Linked DNA regions of Arabidopsis thaliana. The protein of the gene in region 2 interacts with the protein of the main gene of each other region in a biochemical or structural test. Each region holds a gene or a part of one and is shown on either strand. Other genes may lie near its edges.

What was found. Proteins that work in one complex are often made in the same cells at the same time.
Region 1: the proteins of ATGRIP (region 2) and ARF3 form a complex in vitro, tested with the Arabidopsis thaliana proteins (2 studies listed by BioGRID).

Annotation. Positions count from the first base shown.
Region 1 is NC_003071.7:10,559,719-10,566,246, forward strand, and holds ARF3 (ADP-ribosylation factor 3), read left to right. Parts: upstream 1-2,969; 5' UTR 2,970-3,103; coding exon 3,104-3,206; intron 3,207-3,324; coding exon 3,325-3,363; intron 3,364-3,456; coding exon 3,457-3,519; intron 3,520-4,095; coding exon 4,096-4,114; intron 4,115-4,252; coding exon 4,253-4,364; intron 4,365-4,739; coding exon 4,740-4,787; intron 4,788-4,963; coding exon 4,964-5,094; intron 5,095-5,209; coding exon 5,210-5,243; 3' UTR 5,244-5,578; downstream 5,579-6,528. Other genes in the region: GDU4 (glutamine dumper 4), read left to right, coding at 1-231; AT2G24780 (uncharacterized protein), read right to left, coding at 5,963-6,121. UniProt on the Arabidopsis thaliana protein: GTP-binding protein involved in protein trafficking; may modulate vesicle budding and uncoating within the Golgi apparatus.
Region 2 is NC_003076.8:26,403,362-26,412,917, forward strand, and holds ATGRIP (Golgi-localized GRIP domain-containing protein), read right to left. Parts: upstream 6,995-9,556; 5' UTR 6,721-6,994; intron 6,584-6,720; 5' UTR 6,528-6,583; coding exon 6,122-6,527; intron 6,033-6,121; coding exon 5,917-6,032; intron 5,740-5,916; coding exon 5,570-5,739; intron 5,459-5,569; coding exon 5,365-5,458; intron 5,207-5,364; coding exon 5,120-5,206; intron 5,020-5,119; coding exon 4,939-5,019; intron 4,814-4,938; coding exon 4,688-4,813; intron 4,362-4,687; coding exon 4,253-4,361; intron 4,161-4,252; coding exon 4,081-4,160; intron 3,889-4,080; coding exon 3,760-3,888; intron 3,673-3,759; coding exon 3,572-3,672; intron 3,401-3,571; coding exon 3,267-3,400; intron 3,182-3,266; coding exon 3,084-3,181; intron 3,024-3,083; coding exon 2,904-3,023; intron 2,775-2,903; coding exon 2,726-2,774; intron 2,614-2,725; coding exon 2,555-2,613; intron 2,410-2,554; coding exon 2,338-2,409; coding exon of another isoform or gene 2,332-2,337; exon of another isoform or gene 2,267-2,331; coding exon 2,219-2,266; and 7 more. Other genes in the region: ATSAC1B (Phosphoinositide phosphatase family protein), read right to left, coding at 25-105, 187-220, 305-361, 435-492, 605-699, 802-929, 1,024-1,107, 1,195-1,330; STR16 (sulfurtransferase protein 16), read left to right, coding at 7,196-7,284, 7,371-7,444, 7,508-7,632, 7,704-7,778; AT5G66050 (Wound-responsive family protein), read right to left, coding at 8,972-9,020, 9,097-9,136, 9,218-9,309, 9,399-9,505. UniProt on the Arabidopsis thaliana protein: Golgi matrix protein playing a role in tethering of vesicles to Golgi membranes and in maintaining the overall structure of the Golgi apparatus.

The DNA.
Region 1 (6,528 bases), on a different chromosome or scaffold from region 2:
GAGAGTCGGTCTGGAGTGAAGGCGGCTAGCGCGGCGTGCGAGGAGAAGGTTCTTGTCATAATGGCCGGAGATGACTTGCCGAGGTTTCTGGCCACGCCGGCGGCGAACAAATGCATGTGCGGTCACGAGGGTAGAATGGTAATTTTCAAGGAGGATGGTATTGGTGCTGGAGAGGAGAAAATGGGAGACAGAGAGAAAGCCAAAGAAAATGAAGAAACAACGAGTCAGTGAGCTTTTTTGTTTTCTTTTCTTCTCTCAGTCTTGTCTTTTTTTTTTTGTTGGGGAATTTTCCTTCGTGTTTTCACGGGAAATGTAAAATTTACTGAGAGAAAATTTTGGGTTATGATTAATGAATGTTTGCTTGTAATTTCCTATCCCCAATGGTGGAAAACTCGTTTTTAGTTTTTGTAATTCTCAAAAGTGTGATAGGTAACCTTTCTCATACAGCTTTAATACCAATCAGTAATAGAGTAAACTAAAACGGAATAACATAATAGTACTTAAAATTCTTACAATTTTATGTCATCACTAAGATCTACAAAAAAATGAATCATAGTATCATAACACTATGTTTGCCCAAAAAAAAAAAAAAAAGTATCATAACACTATTGATCATAAATTCAAAGCTTGCAATGTTTCGATGGAAACGTGATTCATCCCGTACACAAACTGTAATTTTATATACATTTTCAGAAACTAATGTAATGCATTAACCCTTTTGTATTACGTATATATTCTCACATTTTATATTTTGTAAGGAGATTCGTTTAGTTACTTTAATTATGAATTGTTATAATTGTGTCTCCTCCATGTATTTGTGTTACTTTCATATTTTCCTTGCATTTATATATTTTATTTACCATAGGATAGTTCTGAATTTGCTATCAACTTGGATATTTTAAATTAATTGAGACTCCATCTAGTTCACCGTCAAATTTTAACTATACTTGTTTAACTATACTTGTTATATAACGAGTGAATAAACTGGAAATAGTATTACTATTAACTATGAACTTACATTCGTAATATTCGAAAATATGTGCGTGAGTTAGTCTTGTCACAAGAAAAGGAATCATATTCTTTTTTTCATTAAACAAAAATTGGAAACACATATTATGGTATAAATCAAAAGATAATTCGATTACTTGCCCCATTTGCCTGCTTTACTTTCAATTTGATAATATCCCATCAACAAGAGTCTTGTTACATGACCAAATTTTCTTCTGTTCTCACGTTATTAAGTATTTTGAAGTGAAGTGCACTCCAAACAAACGTCTAAAACTTAAGGTTTGTATAATCCTCAATCAAAAACATTTTACAACTTATTTCTATTTTTTTATATTGGGGTCTTTTTCCCAGCTACTAATATACGATCACTTAAGTAATTTTTTGTAAAAATCATTAAAAATCCTAATAAACTCATTTGCGTAGTTCAATTACACACATACATATGTAGTAATATAAATATTATTTTCCGTTTTAAATTATCGTAAATGGAATGTCATTTAGAATTTTAATTTTATTCACCACAAATGTTTTTTTCTGTTTTAATATATTTGTTTGTTAAAATTTATATTTTCGTCGCTAATTAGTCCACTGAAATTATAATCCACAGGCTAGATAATCCACTGATTTCAACAAAGGTGAAAAAATTATATAACTAATATTTGTCCATTAGTAGTAGCTAATTAATTGAAAACGTTTGTTCTCTGAATCGAAAGAGCTGCATAAGAGAAAGGGGACACGTGTCAAAAACAGAGTTTAATATGAAAGCGAAGACAATGATTCTGTTTTGACTTATTTGTCATTTGCTGAGCTGTCTTTAGAGGCGCCGAGTAGCCGCGTCTCCCGCAAGAAAGTTCCAAAGCAATACTTCTTCTTTCATTGCATTCATTTCCCCAACTGTCTCAAACTTTGTGCCGCATAAGCAAAAGGTACAAATAAAATAATAATAAAAATAAAGGATGGCGAAAACAAAATTACTTGTATCAAACAAGAACATTTTGTTAATTTTTCCGAGTGAAAACATCACTTGATATGGATATGCGATTTTAGTTGTTGTAAGTTTCTCTAGCATAATTGATAATTCCTATTAACATCAATTTTGATATAGCATTAGGACTTCAATGTTTTTATTTTTAGGGTTTGTTCTTTTTGACTTCATTAGTCTAGTGGTACTTTAAGACCACTTTTTCACCTCACACATGGATGATCCAGACCTAGTCAAGCTAGGAGTGACTTTTATGTTTATATAATTTATACATGTTAAATTATTTTAGTTTTCTTTTTTAAAGGAGATGAATTTAATTCGGTGTGGATCCCGTCTCTAGAAAATATAGGGTCTTTGGGCTTGAACTTCCAAATATTCGAATAACAAAAAAAATTATTTTAGTTTTTAACCCAAAAAGAAAACATTTGCGATCAAATGTTATTGTAAACAACGCACACTAAAAAGACATTTACCCTTTTCGGTGAAGAGACACAGGGACAGCTACATGCGACCCAAAAAATGAGCTTACCCTCTATTTCACATATGTAAGAATATACTCTAATTAGACTCAGCATGTAGTATAAAGAAGGTGTTGACAAAAAAGCTCAAATAATTCGATAAACTAACAATGCACGGGTACTAATTAACAAGGAATTCTCATAAAATTGAAGGTAAATTTAAACAACAATAAGAGCATCCCAATTAGGTAAGAGATTTAGTTAAGTAATTGCGATCAAGGAAACAAGTACAACAGAAGTGGAAGTCTGTCTCTATATCACTTTCTTCCCTGATGCATAAACTTACCTCTTGTTCACAAACTTTGTTAACATTTTGATAATGCAATGAAATGAAATTAGAAATTCAAAACAAAAATAGAGAAAAGTACAACCAGTGGACTATAGTCCAATTAGTCAACCAAAGTAACAATGGGCCGAGCTGATAATATTTAGGCCCAAAAAAAGCCTCTGGACGAATCAGAGACACTGGAAATGAACGTTCTTCTTCGCACTAACTCTCAAAGAAGAAGAAAAGATCTGAGAGGTGGTCGAATGATCCAAGAGAAGAAGAACAATCTCTCTTAGATCGTTTGATCTGATCCAATCGAAGAAGAAGATGGGAATCTTATTCACGCGGATGTTCTCTTCCGTCTTTGGTAACAAAGAAGCTCGAATCCTCGTCCTCGGTCTCGACAATGCTGGAAAAACCACAATCCTCTGTAAATTCACTGCCTCAATCTTTCGCATTGTGTAATAGATTTGATATTTAGTAGCTAGGGTTTTTGATTCGATCGTTTTTTGAGTTGCGTTGATGTTTTTGATTCTCTGTGATTCCAGATCGGCTTCAGATGGGGGAAGTTGTCTCTACGATTCCGAGTATGTATCTAATCTCTCGATTATTGTATAGATTATGGATCTAGTTTATGTATCGTGATTTTACGAATTTTGGTTTTGATCTGATCTTTGCAGCTATTGGATTTAACGTTGAGACTGTGCAGTACAACAATATCAAGTTTCAGGTCTGGGATTTAGGTATGTTTTCGAAGAATGTGTTCGAACGCATTAAACTTTGAATTTGAAGTAGTAGAAATGATTTTTGGTATTATATGGAAGGGATATTCGAAATCTACAACACTATATAAGCATTAGATTAATCCAAATCAAACCATTTTCTGATGGATTCAGTTAGAGATTCTCTGCGTTCTTCTTTCTAAGTTGACTAGCTCCATGGTAGTAGATCTTCAGTGTCACTTTTGTATAATTGGAATGTTTGTCTTTTGTATGAATTAACGAATTCATGATCAGAATTTTCCTTGATTTGGAGTCCTTAGATAAGTTGTTGTCGTATGTGTCGTTATATTCGACTTTCTTGTTCCAAGTTATTACCTTTTCCAACTGGTCTTGATGAGATAGATGAAGTTCTTTGTATTCAAATTTGGGTGATAAAGAGTTCTGTATTATCACATCTTCTTCCTATAGTTTTTATTATTATTATTGTTTTGCACGTGTTGTATGTACATCTGTCTTGTTAGTTATATGCGAATGCTTTTGCATTTTACAAAATTGGTTCAGCGACACAGTACATTAACAAGAACTTTCCTATGACAGGTGGACAAACAAGCATCAGGTAGCTTAATGACCTCGTTTCTCATTTCTAGATATGATGAACATATTGCATCTACTGTGAAGGAATGAAGAACAGAAATGCTCCATCAAGATTATACTGTTTTTGTTTTGCCCAATTTTCTAATGGTATTTTTGACAGGCCATACTGGCGATGCTATTTCCCGAATACACAAGCAGTGATCTATGTTGTTGACTCGAGTGATACAGATAGAATCGGGGTGGCGAAAGAGGAGTTTCATGCAATTTTAGAGGTAAAGTACTGCTGAGGCTTCCTCTTCTTATACTGTTGTATTATTTTGTGATGGACTTCTTGCATCCAAAAGTAATTGAGGTAAAACGATGATGATGTATATCGGTAGTTGAATGGAAATACAATATTGGTTCAGTTTCTTGTTTAGGACTTGTTATAGATGCTTGTAAGTTGTATATCAAGTATTGTTAGCCTTCTAATAGGTGATACTGAAATTGAAGTATCTCGGTTAGTACTGGACGGAAAGAACAAGTGATCATTTCTCTCTGTAGATCTTGCTAGCTAATCTTAAACTCTCAGCAACAATGCTTACTTGAGTTTACCTCTGCCACTGTCAGCATTTAACTCGCACTATCTTTTCAACTATGTTTTATAGGAAGATGAATTGAAAGGTGCGGTGGTTCTGATATTTGCAAACAAGCAGGTTAGTAGTCTCTAAATGTTTGCTCTTCCGATTAGTTTGGGCTGATTCATCTGGAAATCTGTATTGGTTTCTGTTGCTAAAAAGCTTTAGTTTGTTTTGCATGCACAAGACACTTTTTTGCTGATGAAAAATCTATAACTATTTGGTCTGAGTTTCATTAAATCGACTTAATTTAGGATCTTCCCGGTGCACTCGATGATGCGGCTGTTACAGAAGCCTTGGAGTTGCATAAGATAAAGAGTCGTCAATGGGCAATCTTCAAAACTTGTGCTGTGAAAGGCGAGGGACTTTTCGAGGGATTGGACTGGTAAGCACATTCTGAAACCGAACCATTTTCTTGGTCCCATTATTGAAACACTGAACCCATTTCTTTATGCATTTCTTCTCAAATATTCTTCTCTCATTTCCATCTTGATCTTCAGGTTGAGTAATACATTGAAGTCGGGAAGTGGCTAAAATCATCGTCATACACCAATCTGTCACATTTCTCAAGAGTGTAACTTTGATCATTTTTACTTATTGGTTTGTTTAGTATCTTTTTTTTATCTTAGTTCTTCATCTTAAAGAGTTAATATCAATGACATGTTCACTTAATATTCTCTTTTTGTTGTTTTGTTTCATTCTGAAAGAAAAAACCCAACACAGATTTTTGATTGAGACCCATAAGGGGTAATATCATCACTTTTTAACATGAAATATTGAACTGATTCCAGACGAAACACTGAATTGGTTCCAAGTGGTGTTTTTGCCGACTTGGATTCAGAAGCTCAAACGTTTGGGGTTTTAGAAGTCCTAATTTATGTAATTTGTCTGCTCCTTAATTAATGATAAAATTGTTGACACTATTATGCCATTTAGTAGATAGTAAGATTTTTTTTTAATGTTTTCAAAGAGGCAAAAATAATTTGCAAGGAATATATAGAACTAGCAAGATACTAGCCTAAGCTATTTGATTAACTTTCCTGCTAATAATGCTAGTATGCTACCAAAACAAAACACAAGCGATTTGTGAAGCTCTTTCTTAAAGAGTCCGGCTCGGCGTTTAGAGAATGTAACTTGACGGTGGCTCTCTTTCTTGATCTTACCATAGAATCTTTTATATGGCGGGTGTTGAGCAAATTAACTTAAACAAATTTGTTTTATTATCGTAACTCAATAAAAATTACGATTTCTAGTCATAAACAAAAGGCTGTACATAGCATTAGGCCTGCTACGGATCCGGATATCCGGGTTTTTTGGAGTATCTGGATCCGTATCCGTATCCGGCGGATATGTAGTTTTAGGATCCGCATCCGGATCCGTAAACCTCGGATATCCGGATTTCGAATATCCATGAAAAAACCGGATATCCGCGGATATTCGAGATCCGTTTATTTTTGGGAACAAATTCAATTTCCTATTTCACCAACCAGATTGAATTCACCACCAAAAGAGATCGACGTGTGCCCGACATCAGACTTTGCAAGGCACATACCACCAAGATCTCGTCTTTAACGGTGTCCAATCTGCTCCTCCTCATTCATCTCCGCCATCGACACTTTGAATCCCATGTATCATCATTCCCGTAAGTAAACTTCCGTCCATAAATTTACGACGGTGGAACCGAGATGAATATGGTGGGGAGACGGTGATGAAGATTACATGGAGATGAGATGGAGATAGTGAAGGAAATGGTGATGAAGGAAACATTCACGGCGGCAGAAAAAATATGTTATGAAACCCTAATAGTTAAGTCCCAAAC
Region 2 (9,556 bases):
TCAAACCTAAGGACAAAGGCATACCATTTCTTCTAGAGCACCTCCTAGCAATCAGAGTAATGTCAACGATATCTCTTCCAATGGCTGTTTGAAAACTATGAAAACGTGATGCAGGGTTAAGGAAAATTGTCTGAAGTGATGATCCAGGAAAAAGATTTGAATAGTGAACTGATAGAAAAAGGATATTCCCTTGAATTACAGGAAGCAAGAACTGATCAAGCTACAAAATTAAAACAACCACAGGGTGATATATATTTGCAAGTACAGAAAACAGAGGAGTGAACTTGAACAAGAGTTCACTAACCTTATTATCGATAAGAACTTCTAACATATAATTGTTCCATAGAAATCTAGGCTCAGCCTGCCAATAAAGATGTAAATTAAAGGTTAGTTTGCACACAAACAAGCAACAAAAAGGGCGTATGGATGGATACCTGTCTCCACAAAGGAAGCAACTTAGACTCATCACCCAAATCATGCAAGCGCTGTGCACTGAAACAACAACATACATGATTAGCAAAATCTCAACTTTTTTTTTTAATCTCTTTTTACAATCTAGCATTTCCAGAGTTGGCACAAATTAAGAAGAAGAGAAATTATTTACGTGAGAGTCAAGTTAATTTCATATGAGAAGTAGAGACCAGTTGTCCTCTCAGCGACACTTAGCAGCCTAGAGTAGTCATCAGTCTCCATCTTTTTCTGCGAAAAGCGGTTCAGTGTTTTGATCGTTGAGGTCCATTAATTATTGTTTCTTGCTTGTCAGAGAGATAGATACAAGAGGGAAATGTAACATGGAGTCACCTGTTCTTCATGCGGGTTTTCAAGTGAATGATCACATGGAAGAAACTTGAGCGAATTAATTTTGTATATAGGATGTCCCAAAAACGAGCCAACAGATTCGCTCTCTGTCACAACTACTAAGTAGGATCCTGAAATCAAATAAGAAAATTTGCTCTTGGTTCAAATGAAGATGAAAACATTCACAAATAGATTAATTATTCGATAGGATCTCTGAAATTTCACCTGCCAGGAGCTTCAGCATCCCAACCACACCGAAAATGGAGCGGATTTTAGGGACACGCAAAGAGTTGCATTCTGCTACTTGATCTGAGACAGGCAAGAGGATGCATTACACATACATGCATAAGAGAACAAAAAGATTCCAATATAACGAGGCAAAAACAGGAAACACACCAATGAGCTTCATGGAGCCGTCAAGACGACTAATATCCAAACATGAAGCGGAGGAACCATCGGTTGGCTCGATGACGTACTGATCAGGGAATTCCCACAAACGCAAGCCAGAGTGTATCTTGAGCCTACTCACCATGGCTTCCAGCAAGAGGAAGAAGAACCAATCACCTTCTTCGTTACGAGATTTGAAACTAGTAGGCGAAATGAATTCCGCTCAATTAAAATGGCCTTCAAGGCAGTGAGAGTGAGACCCGTTCAAATTGATTCCGTACATAACGGTTGACCAATAACAACAAGTCGACGACCGTTATTATTATACTATCTTTGTAGTTAATTTTGCGTTGACTTTTTTAGTTTCATTAATTCCGATAATCAGCGGTTTTCTGCATGATTACAATAGACTCCATTAAAAATGGCCCAACAACTCAATTCAGTGGCTTATCCTTTCTTTACATCTGGACAAAAAGTGTTTTCTTGACTTTTAGTGTTCATTACACAAAAACGAAGGACTTAAACACAATGTCGTATGTATGTGTATGTATCTTGGCCCAAAAGAATGTGTCCAGTGCCCACCCGACTATGAAAACGAGAATCTTGAGAAGACTGATAGACCTGAACCCTCACTTGCCGGACTTGGAGTCGCCTCTGTTGTTGTTGCCGCTGTTGTTGAGCTATGGTAGGCTTGCTGACACTTCTGGATCTCCTCTGGACTGAACTGCAGCAACATCCCCACTACAGGTAGTAAAGCCTCCACTTCACCTGCAATTATCACAAGTTAATTTACCCCTAAAACATCTACTTCGTGAATCCACCTTTAATCTCCAGGTTTTTTAACCTGTTTCTAGCAGTTTTAATATCACATTCTTTAGGTATGTCATATCCACGCCTTCTCTCTTCTGTTTTCTTTCCATCTCCCTCAACTCCGTCTTTAGCACTGCTTCCTGTAATTTAGCATACCACCGGAAGTTTGAAATAAGATCCTAAGAAACTGGCAAAGCAACCAAACTCTCGTGTAATCACATACCTGTTGACTGTGAAGACGGTTTTCTCGTTCAAGCTCCTCGATTTCCTCCTGATTCAGAATAAACAGTTACTAATTGCAACATGTGCAGAAACAGATCAATGCAACCAATTCTACTACACCTGAAGAGCTAAAATATGGCGCTGTGTCTGTGCTAACTCTTCTTCTCTCTGAGCTTGTTGCCTTGCCAATATCTGAAATTTGATTATTATGTGTCATGATTAGCTCTCACTGATTTGTCCCGTAGGCCATAGCATTACATTTGAAGGAAATTAAGTTCTAGGATTAAAGATCGCTCCTTGCTCACACAAGCAGACAGCTAACATTACAAAATCCTACCAGAATCTGGTGCTCTGCTGCAGAAGTGCTCAAGTTAGATACATCCTGCTGTTGTGACTCTGAAACCCCGTTTAAAGAAAATAATAGGTTATTGATGACAGGGAACCCACTGATTCATTCATATAGGGAGCCCTTATTAAAAAAATATGGTATCAGGAAAACATCTTGTACCTGTGTTGTTGTTCCCATAGTGGTGAACCTGGGATGGAGATTTGTTCCACTTAATGCCACATGAAGAGTGAAAAGTTTCAGTGCAAATTAAATGAAAAGTTACTAGCGTAAAACCAAAGATAAAAAGGAGAAGTAAGGTAATAAGCAAAAAAAAAAAAAAAAAGAACCATCCACATACTACTGGTTTTGACTCCATAGATTTTCGAAGATTTGTCATCTCATCCACAAGTCTCGATATCTCTCGATCCTTCTCCTCAATGAGTCTATCTGCAAGCTCACGTACTGATTCATGCTCCTCCTGCAGGTATGTCAGTTAGACAAAAAAACTTTTTTATGAGTATAACAAAAAGTGATTTACCTTCATTCGTTTATTCCGCAGTTTGGCATTTTCTAGTTCTTTTTCTATACCTTCTGCAGGTGAGGCTTCATTTTGAGCGGTCAAAGCTTCACATCTTCCTATAGATTACTGTAGCCTTTTAGGAAGGGAATTTCAATTTCCAAGAACTAATGAAAAAACCGAATTTAGATTTGAATCAATTACGTCGCCATGTTTCTTCTAAAACCCGAAGGTCTTCTTCCCAAGCTTGTTTCTCCGCCTGATTGCGAGCAACAGTGGAGTCAAGCTTCACTTCAAGACTTTTGATCTGCTCGCTGGCATCTTTAAGTGCTCCAGCTCTGAAATATATATGAAACAAAAATAGCTCAGACGACCAATATATGTCTGAAGAACTCCATAACCAGTCCCCTGAGAACACCATTTCTCAGTTGTTTTCTCTGGCAAATTGAGGAGAATGAGCAGCCAACCTCCGGAATCAAACATGAAAAAGATTCAGTGTCAATATATACCTCTCTTCAAGTTCTTTCTCAAGGCTAGCCAAAGCACTCTGAAGATCTTGCTGTGCCCTATCCCTCTCTGCAGATACCAAATATACTTCTTTTTCAGCTTCCTAACACCACCCAAAAAGATAATTAGTTGGTAAGCACCTTGGCAACCATCTAAAAATATCTCCATCTTAAGATTCTAGATAACTTACCTTTAGAGCTTCCTCAAGAGATTTAATTTGTTCAGAGTCTTTAGCTGCAGCCAGCTCCATGTCCTTCTTTTGCAAAAGCGCGTGAGCACGGATCTTGTAAGAAGAGAATTCACTTTGGAGCCGGTTGATCTGTGAACAGTTACAAGGAATTCAATATGGTTAAATGAAGACTAGCTAAAGCAGAACATTCCTTAAAGCTCAAAATGGCTCTTTGATTCCATAATAATTCACGTTATGTGATTAAGAATGGATGACTAATAAATTCGTTCACCTAACCAAGGCTACAATAGTTTCCAAAAGAACCAAAAGAAAACTATGTACCTCTTCTCTTGCACCTTTGAGTTCCGCATCTTTTGTGCTTAGTATCTGGGTCTGCATGGACATTTCAGATCCCAGCTGACCTGACAATTTATATGAATGAAATGTCTATAGTCCATAGACAAAAGTAAAACATAACTAGATTAGTTCAACGTTTATGAACTCCGTCAATTACTTCTCATTTTAGCCACTTCGATTTCGGCCTGTAAGTAGTTGCTTTCAGCGATTTCCAGTTTAGATTTAAGGGCATCGCATGAAGCTTCCCAAGTCTCCTTTTCCTTTTCCTAAAGGAACAAAAAAAAATCATGGCTTCTATGAATTACAACAAAAGAAAATAGAGGAATTTATATGGCCAAACAAATAGAAACTCTAAACATGCTGTCTGATGACAGACTGACGCCTTAGATCATGTTTACAATTATCTATACGCACTCCTATATTCATTCCCTGGTTAAAACCATGCTAGTAAATCTGCTAAATGATGGAAATCATTTGACGAGTAGTATGCAAAACAATGTCTTAGAATATACGAATGGGCAACAATAACGAAGGACAAATGACAGTTGGCATCAGAGAGTCCTGCGAATCCATCTTTAAACATTCCACTTACATTCTCTGATTTAAGGTGTGCAAGCTCTCCTTTAAGAGTTTCTGCAGCAGCCCTTAGCCTTGCTGCTTCGCCAGTTGCAGCTGCCTCCATCTCTGCAATTTTAGATTCCTTCTCTGCAAGCAGTACCTAAAAGAGGTGTATACTTGGTGTGAAGAATTTATCACTTATTTCAAACTATTCTCTCTCGCTCATTTGAAAACCAAAGCACATCATCCAGTAATAGAACTAAAGAATTTAGTCAAAAGACTAACCTGCAGCGACGAAATGGTTTCGGCTGCTTTGTCCCTCTCAGATAGAGCATCTACGACCTGTGCTTCCAAACCCTCTAAGTTCTGTCAAGAAGGTGGAGAGAAGAGAAAACCTTGGATGTCATTAGCGGAAAATGGTGGCTCATAGCATATAAGAAGTAACACAATCGCTGATGCTGACTACCTTTTGATGCTTGGCTGACAACTCAGTAACTGCAATTTGCTTTCTCTCTTCCACAGCTTGTAATTGCTTTTTCAGGTCCTCCAGAATCTAGGATTAAAGCAAGTACGCATATGAAGCAGAGTATACAGAGCCATCCCTCCCCCCCCCCCCCCCCCCCCCCTCTCTCTCTCTCTCTCTGTCTCTTTTGTCTCTCTATTTTTCTATATATTGCAGACTAGTATTACAGAAAATGAAAGAGATCAAACCTGGTCCTTATCAAGAAGTGACTGTTGCAATGTCTCAATCTTATTTTCTTTAGGCTGCAATGAGCCACGTAGTTCCTCGATAGTATCCCTGAGCCTGTGTAAAGAGAAAACTCCAGTACTCAAATTCTTAGAGGTAGCTGGAGAAGTGGGAAAGGCGACATTCATTTTATACAATTTCTGTAAAAATTATCTTCGAATTATTTACTTGTTATTGGCACTCCTTAGTTGTTGCCTCTCCGCATCCATTGCTTTAAGTGCTTCATTCGCCTGTTGCCTAGTGCGTTCCAGCTCTTGTTGCATGGATGAGTGTTGAGAAGATGCTCGTTCAGCTGTTTCATTCACTTCCCGGAAACGGGCGTCGAGATCATCTTTTTCCTGAAGATAGCAATATAATATACCACTGAGATTAAGACAGCACATAGCAGCGAAATCTATATGTCTGAAAATGCAGCATAGAAATTCCGAAATAGTATAAGATGGTTTTTGAAACTCACAGTAGCCTCAAAGTGGCTAAAACAGAAAGCATTATAAAATGTAGAGAAAGACATTCACCTTTTGGATTTCTTGAATGCGTTGTTTAGCCCTTTTGTGAAGCCTGGTGAATTTGGCGTCCAGGTCGGCATATTTCTCGTCGCGCTCTTTGATTTCCTGGTCCAGTTTCTGTTCAACTACACCAACAATGTAATAGCACAAGTTGAGAAAAGGCAAACACTGGTTCCGGTCAATGAATGAGCAAATAGAAAAGATGGCTTCTGACCTTGGGAAAACTTAGAGGAGTATTCTTGGGATTTAGCATCAGCCTCAGAGTATGCTTCCCTTAGATGCTCAAGAGCTTGCTCAGCTGCAACTCGAGTTTGTTTTTCCACATCAATTTCTCTGCTCAATGATGCGACCTGTTCTTGAAGTTGTTTCAGCTGAGCAGAGTCCGCTTCCACTTGCTCAGCTTTCTGGAGAGACCTACCTTGCGCTACCTCATCCTTGAGTCCCTCAAATTGGGATCTGAGAAAGTCATTTTCTAATCTCAGTTCAGCAATCATTTGGAGTAGCTGATCACCATTTTCTGTCAGAGTCTCGTTGGAGGCATCATTTAACTCTTTATCTTCTTTGATCACATGGCTCTCCTCTTCTTCTCCAACCACATCAGATTCCTTGTCTTCGGACATCTTGGCAGAGCAGATGTCAGAAAGATGAACCCAGACACTCAAGAGAGCGACGACAACTAGTAAGCGCAAAATCGGGATTTGAATCAACAATCAAAAGAGAAAGGAGTCAAGTCGTGAAATTCGAATAAACCAGCAAAAGCAACGCAAGGAGAAGAGAGATTTGAATGTAATCAGTGCCAGAGAAGAAGCTTACCTTGAGGTGAGGGATTAGAGAAGAGTGTGGAGGCAGAGAGAGAGAGGTCACAAACAAGGAATCACGATTTCGAAATATTGGATCGGATCTCAACCCAAAGGTTAAAAACGTCGTCGTCTCTTTCCCGTCGATCAGTGAGACGGTAAAACGTTGATCTGATCGACTGACGAAGAATGGTAAGAATTGTGTAAAGGGTGTTTTACTAATGAATAATTGCATTCAGAAGCCTTAAACCTTTTGAAAATTCATCAAGTAAACCCAAGACGAGGTTAGCTAAAATGATGCCGTTTTGGAATGGTAATATGAAAATATGAAGGACAGTCCGAAAACAGCTTAGCCCATAAAGCAGCAACTTAGGCCCATTATGTATTTGTAATATATGGCCCAATTATAATCACTTTCCCAACTAATTTATATAAAATGAAATTATTGAAGTCTTTGTCCAGTCAAATATAATAATAAGCCATTGAAAAAAATGGCGGAGGAGAGCAGAGTCCCATCATCGGTGTCGGTAACAGTCGCCCACGACCTTCTTCTAGCCGGCCACCGCTATCTAGACGTCAGGTACCGCCCCACCTTTCTCTTTTGACTATTTCAATCATCAACATAGCATCATTAGGATCTTGATGTAATGGGGATGATGAATATAGGACTCCAGAAGAGTTCAGCCAGGGACATGCCTGTGGGGCGATCAACGTGCCTTACATGAATCGAGGAGCATCAGGTATGTTTTTATTTGGTTAGTTGATAACTGAGTGATGGATATAATTTTGTGATTGTGAAACAGGGATGTCAAAGAACCCCGACTTCCTGGAACAAGTCTCCTCCCATTTCGGACAATCCGATAACATCATTGTTGGCTGCCAGAGCGGTGGTAGATCTATCAAAGCCACCACCGATCTTCTCCATGCAGTAAGCTCCACCACAAAGCTCTTCTTTCTGACTTTTACTTTGTTGGTGATATATAATTTGCGAATTTGCAGGGTTTCACGGGAGTCAAAGATATCGTCGGTGGCTATAGTGCCTGGGCCAAGAATGGCCTTCCTACAAAGGCTTGATGACTCACCATTCACCAAACATCTTTCCTTATCTCTTCGTCTCCTTCTTCTTCAATAATGCATCCTTTCCGCATGTAATCATCAATAAATGACCCTCCTTTCTCTTTGCTGTCTGATGTGATAGCTTGGAGGGAGGGGCTCATCGCATCTTTTTAAAATATATAAAAATACGAGTGTGTGTTGATTGCATCGAAATCTCTATATATATAGTTTAAAAAAAAAATCAATTAGAAAGGAGAAAGGAGCATCCGATCAACGATTATATCTACAAGATTGTTACCTTAAAGGTCCATCTGTTCTTGGCAACAGACAATATATGTGTATATATTGAGTGATCGATGAGTACACAAAGACAACAACACCATATCAACAACTCGATCGTGTGTACAAAACAAGTGGTGTGACCTAACGAGGCAAACTTCAAAATACGAGAGAAGCGACGAGAGAGGACTGAGATATTGACACGGCTCAATCAGATGAGTTAGTAAAAGAGAATCTGAGTGAACCAGGCCAATATCAGAGGGACTCTCTCGGAAACATAGTGTATCTGTTTTGTAAAAGAAACAAGAACGCAAGTGAGAGAATGTCTGTAACTGTAAGGAGATTAAGAAGAAGAAGGGAGTGAATGTGCAACTGCAATTCTGCGAAGCATTTAATAACTCTGCTACTCTCAATGCACCAAAGCTGGGCCACCTCTTTTATTTTTCTAACTTTAACCCGAAAACCAAGTGAATAAGGGAGTGTTGTGTAACCATCGTTTCAGGGGAAATCATTCACGTTTCTTTTAACTTACTGCTTAGTCTTCCACAAGTAGACATTTATGAAGGCACAACAATCCACATCTCTTCTTTCCCACTGTATGTAACCGTCCCTCTTTCGTTTTGTCTGCTTCTGCCCTCAGTTTCTTTCTCCTAAATAATCTTCTTATCGCCAATTCAATAAAAATACTATACACACTTAAAGAAATGCATTTCATTTAGTCTTCTTCCATTTACATTTACACATTCCCTCAGGTTATTCATACATCTTTCATTTACTTTGAATACATCCTGCGATCCCATCAATCTAAGAGCTTCCTCTCAGGTACATGCGGTACCATCAATCTATGAGCTTCTTATATTTCTCTCTCCATACCCTTGAAATCCACCACATTATATCTACATCCATTTCCTTTCTTAGCTCCTATTCTTTCACTACTCATAGCTCTCAGGAGTTTCTACACCCTTATTATATACAACAGAGCTGCAACCAAAACAAGTTAATTATCAATGTCACTTCATTAATGCATCTCAATTATCACCAACAATTGTCTTCTCACCTCGAGTTCTGAAGGTTCTTCAGTCTGTCCCTCCACATCGCTGCAAAATGTGATACAAGAAAAAAATGAGGAGTCTGCAAAGCACACTGGATATAGATGCCATCCAGAACAGTTTGTATACCTGCATCGATGTACCTTTCCTCTTTAGACGCCAAATCCATATTCCTCACTAATTTAAGCTCTTCCGATAAAGGATCTGGTCCATCGGGAGCGCTGAACAAGAACACCCACCATGTGGTTAGCAACTGTGACAGAGTGAGACAGTGTAACTAACCCAGGAGATTCATTAACAAACTAAAAACCTGTCAAGGATAACATTGAAAACAGGCTTTGCGCTCTGCGGTCTGCCTCCATAACCAATTTTGATAGCCTCTTCCAGCACTATTGCTTTGTTCACATATATTGGAGCCTGAGATATGACAAACAAAAACATGTTATCGCAGTATTCAAAAGGAACAGG